2 linked regions of the Canis lupus familiaris genome follow. The protein of the gene in region 1 purifies or fractionates together with the protein of each later gene. This does not show direct contact. Links are inferred from orthologs where the notes say so. Each region holds a gene or a part of one and is shown in the gene's direction. Other genes may lie near its edges.

Evidence for each region. The genes of interacting proteins can lie anywhere in the genome.
Region 2: the proteins of EP300 (region 1) and MTA2 purify together in Homo sapiens (affinity purification with mass spectrometry, with the first as the bait; 3 studies listed by BioGRID). This does not show direct contact. The link is inferred for Canis lupus familiaris from reciprocal best matches to the Homo sapiens genes EP300 and MTA2.

Annotation. Positions count from the first base shown.
Region 1 is NC_049231.1:25,111,950-25,115,906, reverse strand, and holds the start of EP300 (histone acetyltransferase p300), read left to right. Parts: upstream 1-1,157; 5' UTR 1,158-1,722; coding exon 1,723-1,816; intron 1,817-3,957. UniProt on the Homo sapiens protein: Functions as a histone acetyltransferase and regulates transcription via chromatin remodeling. Acetylates all four core histones in nucleosomes. Histone acetylation gives an epigenetic tag for transcriptional activation.
Region 2 is NC_049239.1:54,555,937-54,559,958, forward strand, and holds the start of MTA2 (metastasis-associated protein MTA2), read left to right. Parts: upstream 1-1,222; 5' UTR 1,223-1,373; coding exon 1,374-1,401; intron 1,402-1,690; exon of another isoform or gene 1,691-1,763; coding exon of another isoform or gene 1,764-1,773; intron 1,774-2,089; coding exon 2,090-2,157; intron 2,158-2,532; exon of another isoform or gene 2,533-2,600; coding exon 2,601-2,694; exon of another isoform or gene 2,695-4,022. Other genes in the region: EML3 (echinoderm microtubule-associated protein-like 3), read left to right, coding at 21-41, 140-717. UniProt on the Homo sapiens protein: May function as a transcriptional coregulator. Acts as a component of the histone deacetylase NuRD complex which participates in the remodeling of chromatin.

The DNA of each region.
Region 1 (3,957 bases):
CCGGGACGCGGGGCCATCCCCACGGCGCTCGCCTTCGGCCCCCTGCGCCGTGAGCCGGCGCCTTCCCCAGCGCAGCTCCGGGCCCCGTCACCCCCGATTCCCACCGGTCCCCCACGCAGAGACCCAGCCCAGGGACCTTCCCCCGCAAGTGTCCACCGACCGAAAATAGATCCCGAGCCTGCCCCCGAGCCCGCCCGCCTCGCCAAGTCCTCCCCTTTAAAGGGAGCCACCGGGTGACGCCGGGGGAGTTTGCGGAAGCGCCAACCGCGTTGGGGCCTTGGGCGGATCCCGTGATTGGAACCGGCCCCGCCCCCGGGTCCTCTTCCCCCATTGTGTGAGCGGCTCGGGCCCAGGCCCCGCCCCCTCGCCGCCTCCCTCCGGAGGCCCAACCCCTCCCCTTTTTTTCACCCCCCCCTTGGCTCATTTCCGGCCGCCGCTGCTACCGCTAGCCTGTAAGGAGGATTCGGCAGAGGGAAGAAACAACAGCCGCCATCTTGTTTGTGTGCTAGGCTGGGGGGGAGAGAGGGCGAGAGGGAGCGGGCGAGAGTGGGCAAGCGGGACGCCGGGCTGAGTGCGAACTGCTGGAGCCGGAGTGCGGAGGCGAGCCGGGCCGGAGAGAGGCGGCAGGGGCCGAGACAGTGGCAGGGGGCCCGGGGCGCACGGGCTGAGGCGACCCCAGCCCCCTCCCGTCCGCACACACCCCCACCGCGGCCCGGCAGCCGGGCCGGCGTCGACGCCTAGGGGGGACCATTACATAACCCCGCGCCCCGCGGCGCCTTCGCCCGCCGCCGAGGGCGGCCCCGAGCGGAGCCCCGGGGGGCGGGCGCTCCCGGCACCTGGCCGCCGGGGGTGGGGGCCGCAGCGGCGGCCGTAGTTATTTCCGTGCGGCGGGAGAGGAGGACGAAGGAGGCGAGCGCGGCGCGAGGAGAGGCCGCCTGCGCCGCCCGCCGGAGCGGGCCCTCCTCGGTGGGCTTGGCGTCGGCGCGGACGGGCGGGCGGGCGGGCGGCGCTGCTCGGCTCGGCCCGGCCCCCTCGGCCCTCCGGACCTGCGAGCTCCGCGCCCGGCGTCCTCGCCGCGCCTCCGCCGCCCGCCGCGCGATGTGAGGCGGCGGCGCCAGCCTGGCTCTCGGCTCGGGCGAGCTCTCTTCGGCCATTAGGGGCCGGTGCGGCGGCGGCGCGGAGCGCGGCGGCAGGAGGAGGGCTCGGAGGGTGGGGGCGCAGGTCCGGGAGGGGGCACCGGGAGGAGGTGAGTGTCTCTCGTCGCCTCCTCCTCTCCCCCCTTTTCGCCCCCGCCTCCTTGTGGCGATGAGAAGGAGGAGGACAGCGCCGAGGAGGAAGAGGCTGATGGCGGCGGCGGAGCTCCGAGAGACCTCGGCTGGGCAGGGGCCGGCCGCGGCGGGCCGGGGACTGCGCCTCTAGAGCCGCGAGTTCTCGGGAATTCGCCGCAGCGGACGCGCTCGGCGGGTTTGTGCTCCTGTGCCCTCCTCCGGGCCTGGGCGCAGGCCCGGCCCCTCGCACTTGCCCCTACCTTTTCTATCGAGTCCGCATCCCTCTTCGGCCACCGCGACCCAGCGAAGAGAAAAAGGAACTTCCCCCACCCCCCTCGGGGGCCGGCGGAGCCCCCCAAGCCCACCCCAGGCAGCGGGGCGGGGAGCCCTGGCCGGAGAAGAGATTTCCCGAGGATTCTCGTTTTCCTCGCCTGTATCTCCGAAAGAATTAAAAATGGCCGAGAATGTGGTGGAACCGGGGCCGCCTTCAGCCAAGCGGCCTAAACTCTCATCTCCGGCCCTCTCGGCGTCGGCCAGCGACGGCACAGGTTAGTCCCGGGAGCCCTGGCCTTCCACATCCCCCCTTGATCTTTTTTTTGCTTGGTGCACCGTTCTTCTTCCATTTTTTTTCTTCCCTTTTTTTTTTCCCCCCCTCCTCTCTTGTTAGTTTTCTGCTTCTTGATTAATTTTAAAGGTGTTTGAATGAGCTGGTCGAAGACGTCCAGTAGCCCAACCATTTTCTTTTGCTTCCTAATACATTCGTTGCAACACTATGTCATATCGATGTGTTCTGGAATTAGAGCTCTTGAGTGGTGCTATGGAAATAGCCTTTATTGTTGCTCCCATGCAGTTTAATTTTTGAAATGCCAGTGCATTTGTGTGTAAGGGCTTTTTATGCAATTTTACTTTGAATTTTTTTTTGTTGTTGAGAAATGAGGAATTGCGAATCCTTTCTCCTCTATTGCACTTACTCTGTTTTCTCTACTTTCCACTCTTCCTTTTCAAGGTTTTCTTTTTTTTTTTTTTTTGCACAAGATTTTCCTTTGAGCATGAAAATGTAAAAAAAAAAAATCATGATTTTATTTGTATGTATGTGTGATCCACGACTTCAGGTTTGACCTTAGGTTTAACGTCAAAGCCAAAATTTGGTTCGAATTATTTTACCTACCATTCCTAGCTTCCCCCCCCTCCCGTTTTTTTTGTTTTTTTTTTTTTATTTGCCTTAAGAATCAATATGGAGCGCAGTTCATTTTACATCTCCCATTTCTTTGGTGTGAGACCAAAATGTCTGAAACTCGGGTTTTAGGTTGAGAGAGAGCAGAGGTATTTTCTTTGCAGTTTGTAGTCACTTTCTCTTGGGGTGTGCGTGTGTGTGTGTGTGTAGATAACCGATGGTGTGGAGTTATGTACTTGGAAATCAAAATTAGGAGTGGTTAGGGTCCCAATCATGAACTGCATACATTAGTTGAACCGTATAAAAGTTTAAAATGTGCATTAGGTTCTGTATTTGTGTGTTTTTCTCTTTGTGCTTTAAACATATTTGGAGGTCCATAGTTCAGCGTAAAAAAGCTCTACCATTCTTAACTTCACTCAGTTGTGGACCAGCCCTTTTTGTCCAGGGAAATTCAGGGAGACTTTCCTCCATCATCCCCTTCTTATAATTAGTTTGGTGCTCTCCTGATGGCCCCCGACCTTCTCTTTTGCTGTCGTCGTTGTTTGAGGTGTCAGGATAATGAAGAGGAAGAATGGCTGGCCATCTGACAGTCCACAAGATATTCCCCCTCTACTACGGAGCATCTCTTTAACTCAACGTCATCTCTCCATCTGCCAGTGAGAGTGTATAATGGAGTTAAATGTATCCTCTGAGTTTGTAGAGAACTTCTAAAGCATGTTTCTAAGTAGGCTGCATTTCGGAGGGTGAAAATGTAAGGATATGGCAAATGCGTTGGATGCTTTGCTTTTTTAAGAAAAATGTGTCATGAGTTTAAGATAACCTGCAAAGATTGAGGATTTTTGCAGTTTTGTGCCTTTCTACTTCAGAATTGTAAAATTGGCAGTGCAAGAACTTTGATCTATCCTTATTCCTTGAACTTTCTTTGGTCTTTACAGATTTTTTTTTTCTCTTACGTGCCTTTCTTCCTCAGAACTATTAATGCATATCGAGTATCATATTCTTTTGCACTTAAAGTACTCAGAGCGGTTTTCAGATCACCTTTAAACATATTTCTGCCTGCAGGTTTTTGTGTTGTTTCTCTAATTTTTGTGAAATGTGGTAATGGATTTTACATTTTAGTTCACCGGAGACTTGAGATGCTGTAGAGAAAACTTCTTTAATGTGTTTCATTTTGAATACTCCTGATTTGAGTAGCTTATTCTTGGAGTGTACTGCAAGGCCTAAAAGCAAGACTGGGCTCTGTTCAGACACCTCTCTTCAGGTGCTCTCCTGCCTTCTCCATATTTGATCTGTGTACTTGGCAACTTTAACTCGTTTTAGTAATGTCTCACCTGTCTAGAACACAAAAACTATTTTGCTACTTGAAATATCTTTGGATAATTATAAGAGTCCTAAATGTATCAAGTGGGTTTTTAGAGTAAAATATCCTCAATATTGAGATGAGCTCAATTTTAATACTAAAAGTTTATCTTAGTATTAGTTACCTTTCTCTAAATTTTGTGATGAGAGCTGATC
Region 2 (4,022 bases), on another chromosome or scaffold:
GCAAAGTGCACCTGTTCCAGTACCCGTGCGCGCGCGCCAAGGTGAGGCCTGGCGGGCTGGGCTGCTGCGGCCGGGCGGGCGGGCGGGCGGGCGGGCCCGGGCTCGGCGCCGCCGCAGCTCCGTCTTGGTTCCCGCCCAGGCGCCCAGCCTCGTGTACGGCGGCCACGGCAGCCACGTGACCAGCGTCCGGTTCACGCACGACGACTCGCACCTCATCTCGCTGGGCGGCAAGGACGCCAGCATCTTCCAGTGGCGAGTGCTGGGCGCCGGGGGCGCGGTGCCAGCGCCCGCCACGCCCTCGCGAACCCCCTCGCTGTCCCCGGCCTCCTCTCTCGACGTCTGACCGCTGCGGGAGGGCACTCACCGGCCCGCGGCCCGGCTCCGCCCCATCCGCAGCCCCCGGGGCCGGGGGCCCACCTTTCCTGGACTCCGAGACATTCCTGGTCGCGCGTTTCCCTGGAGGGGGCGAGTGGCACCCCCCGCGCACACTGTAGAGACCCGCTGGCCGAGCCGGGCAGCCCCAGCCTGGGCCCCGACTCCCGCCGCCTGCTGAGGGGCAATAAACCAGAAGCAAAGTCGCCTCTCAGTCCTTTTGTGGGGCGCGGCTGGGTGCCTCCGGAGCCCTGGGGGGTGGCGATGAAGAAAAAGAGGAGTTTGGACCGAGTCGGGGAGCGTAGGCCGCTCATGCAAACGATAGGCAAAGCCGCTTGCAAATGACCCGGCGAAGCGCGAAGGCGCGCGAGTCTTTCGTGGCCTCAGGCGGAGGTACGGGGGCTCCGGCGAGGATAGAGTTAAGCCCAACTCTTCTCCCGCCCTCGGAGGAGGGGCCGAGCCGCGACGGAAATAGCCGAGCGCCCGGCCGCGGTTGGCCGGAGGGAGCCGAACCTCTTCCGGAAGCGGCCGATCTCTGGGCTCCGTCTCTCCGACCTGAGCCGAGCGCCGGGCCTTGTTCTCCGGATCGGCCGAAGGTGTTCCGGAAGGAGGCGAAGCCCGAGGCGGGCAGGGCAAGCCTCCTCGGCGGCCGGCAGAGTCCGACGTCTGCTGGGGCTCGGCGAGGGCGGAGGTGGGGGCGCCGGAGCCTGGCTCCGGTCCGGCGGGAGCCGAGCTCGTTCCGGAAGAGGCCGAGCGGACCGGCGCTGGCCTCGGCGTCCCGGGCGTGAGGCGGCGGCGGCGGCGGCGGCGGCGGCGGCGGCGACGGCGCGGGCCGGGATGAAACGAGACGGCTGAGGTGGCGGAGGTGCCGGCTGCGCGGGACCGACCGAGACTTCCGCGAAGCGCCAGCCCCGCGCTCGGGGCTTCGCCTCGCGCCGAGCCCTGCCACCGCGAGTCTCCCGGACCCCTTTGTGCGGCCGGAGGCGGCGGCGGGAACGGCCATGGCGGCCAACATGTACCGGGTGGGGGGTGAGTACCGGGCGCAGGGGCTGCAGGGGCCGGGGCCGGGGCCGGGGCCGGAGAGGCGCGGCGGCGGGCAGCGCGGGTCGCCGCGTCTGGGGCGGCGTGGCCCCGAGCGCGGACCGGAACCGGAACCGGGAGCTCGGGGAGCGAGGCTGCGGGGACGGCGACGCGGCGGGGCCCCGCGGCCTTCGGAGAGGCTGCGGGAGGCCGCGACGGCGCCGTCCTGGCCGCGTCGGGGGCCCCCGGGGTCGGGCGGCGGGGCCTGGGAGGGTGGTTCGGCTCGAGCTGACAGGGCAGGCAGGGGGCGGAGGGGGCAGAGCGGCCGCCGCCGGGAGGTGTCCTCCTCCCGGGCGTTATTGTGCGCCTGGATGCTAAAAGGTGAGGGTCAGCGATTGCTCATTTGGCCGAGACGGGTGCATCTCCCTGGCGGAGTTGTAGGGACGGCAGGGGACCCCCTGCTTCTTGCTCCTTCCTTAAGGCTCACTTTTGAGGGAAGGATTTGAGATTAGAACTTGGGTGGTGGTGGGGAAACCCCTTGTTTTCTCGTGGTCTCTCCACTTCCACATTTCAGCGTCCTCTCTACCTGGATCCTTATCCCCTTGGTCCTCTCAGGCCTCCTCTCTCTCCCACCCCGGTGCTGTCTTTCCCATCTCCCCCTCTGATCTTCCCGGTGCTTCCCCACCCCCTCCTACAGATTACGTCTATTTTGAGAACTCCTCCAGCAATCCTTACCTGGTTAGACGGATTGAGGAGCTCAACAAGGTGAGTGGAACAGAGAGAGTCCCACCCCTGTCCTGTCTGGCCTCCCCCCCTCCCCCCTCCGGGAGGGTCTTTTTCTTCTGAGGTCACTAACTTCAGGTGGAAGGCGGAGGCGGGGTGGAGGGGAACCAATCCTATCCTAAGCGCCCATTCATATTCATTCATTCATTCATTCATTCATTCATTCGGTGTATTCAGGAAAGGCTTTTGAGAGCTGGGTGGGAACCTTCTATTCTATCTCTCCTGGGCCAAGGAAAGGGAAAATCTGGAGGATAAAAAGTTTGGAAGTCTGTCCTTAAACGCCAAGTTTTATTCATAATCTTTTGGGTCTTTCTATTTATACCCCTTAGAGACTTATGCACTGTTGTTAGTCTCTTCTTTTTGTGTTTCCACTTTAAAATGACCAACTTTAACTGCTGTTTTTTTTTTTTTTTTTATCCTCTTAGACTGCAAATGGAAATGTGGAGGCAAAGGTTGTGTGTCTTTTCCGGCGAAGGGACATTTCTAGTAGCCTCAATAGTCTGGCTGATAGCAATGCCAGTGAGTGTCTTTGCACCCCCCCCCCCTCCACGCTCCCCCTCCCCATGATCTGAGGCCTGGGCATGTCCCTGCAGGTGTTTCCCCTGGTAGCATGCCCAAAGCAGGGGTGTGAGTTTGGGGGTGAGAAATGCCTGGTTTGCGGAGGGAGGCCTGTTTTTACACGTTGGGGTTGGAAGCAGGGTGGAGAGACCATGATAAGGAAAGCCAGAAAATGGCTTGTGTGTGTGTATCTGAATGATGGGTGTAAAAGAGATGATAGTATTTAAGTAGGGGATGAAGAAGAGCTTTAGAGAAGCAGGACCCTTGGGGGTCAGTTTTGGGTACCTTGGGACAATGGGTAGTGACTGTAAAGGTCAAGGTTGAAGAGGAAGAGCGTGTACTTGGAAGCCTGCATAACAAGGAAGCAGCCTAATTTTGCGATCACGAAGTAATGAGAATACATTGAAGGAAGAGAATGGGAAACTAGGAAACTTTTCTTGCCCTTTTTCCTCTTTCTCACCTCTTCTGTTTTGCTCCACTCCATTTTACATCTTTTCCTTTTGTGTTATCTTCCTTCTCTTTATGCTTTCATCTTCCTTTAAAAAAACTATTTCTTTATGTTTTCCTTAGTTTCTTTTTCCTTTCCTGCTTTGGCTTTCTTTCCTCTTCCTCTTGTTCCTCCTTCTGAAATTATCTTCCTTATTTCAGGCAGCTGTGGCCATGAAGGGGTTAACGAGGAGCTAGGCCTACCAAGTTCTCTGGCCCTCTGGGGTTTCCAGCCCCATCTGGCAGGGGCTGACCTTGGCCTTGTCCAATCAGAAGGGGTGGGGGGGGTGTGGTCCCCCCCTTGCCTTAGCACTGGGTTTCCGGAGCACACAGGCGAGGGGTGGAGCCTGCTGCACCCCACCCCCCCCTTCTCCCTGAGGTTGGGAACAATGCACCAATGAGCCTGGGCCTGTGGCTCTCCTGCCCCCTCCCGCTTTGGTTGGCCCTCAGCCAAGTTAACCCTTTCCACCAAGGTTTCAGGGCAAAGTTGCAGTGCCTGGGGAGGAAGGCACTGGCGCTGGCTTGAGAGGTACTGTCCTTGGAAGCCCCACAAACAATCATTAGTCAAGTGGACAGTGAAGAATAGTTAGGACTGCGAGATGTATAAGAGCAAAGAGACTCCTGAAATCTGAAAAGAACTAGTAAACACAACCTCGTGTGATGATTTTTCACCTTATTGGGTTTCTGGAACTCGGGCTGGTTTAGCAAGAGAGAGGAGTGTGATATTCTTGCTGGGCCTGAAGTGGGCAGATTTGTGCTTTATGAGTGGCATTTAAGCATTGGCACCTGGGTTTGGGATGCAT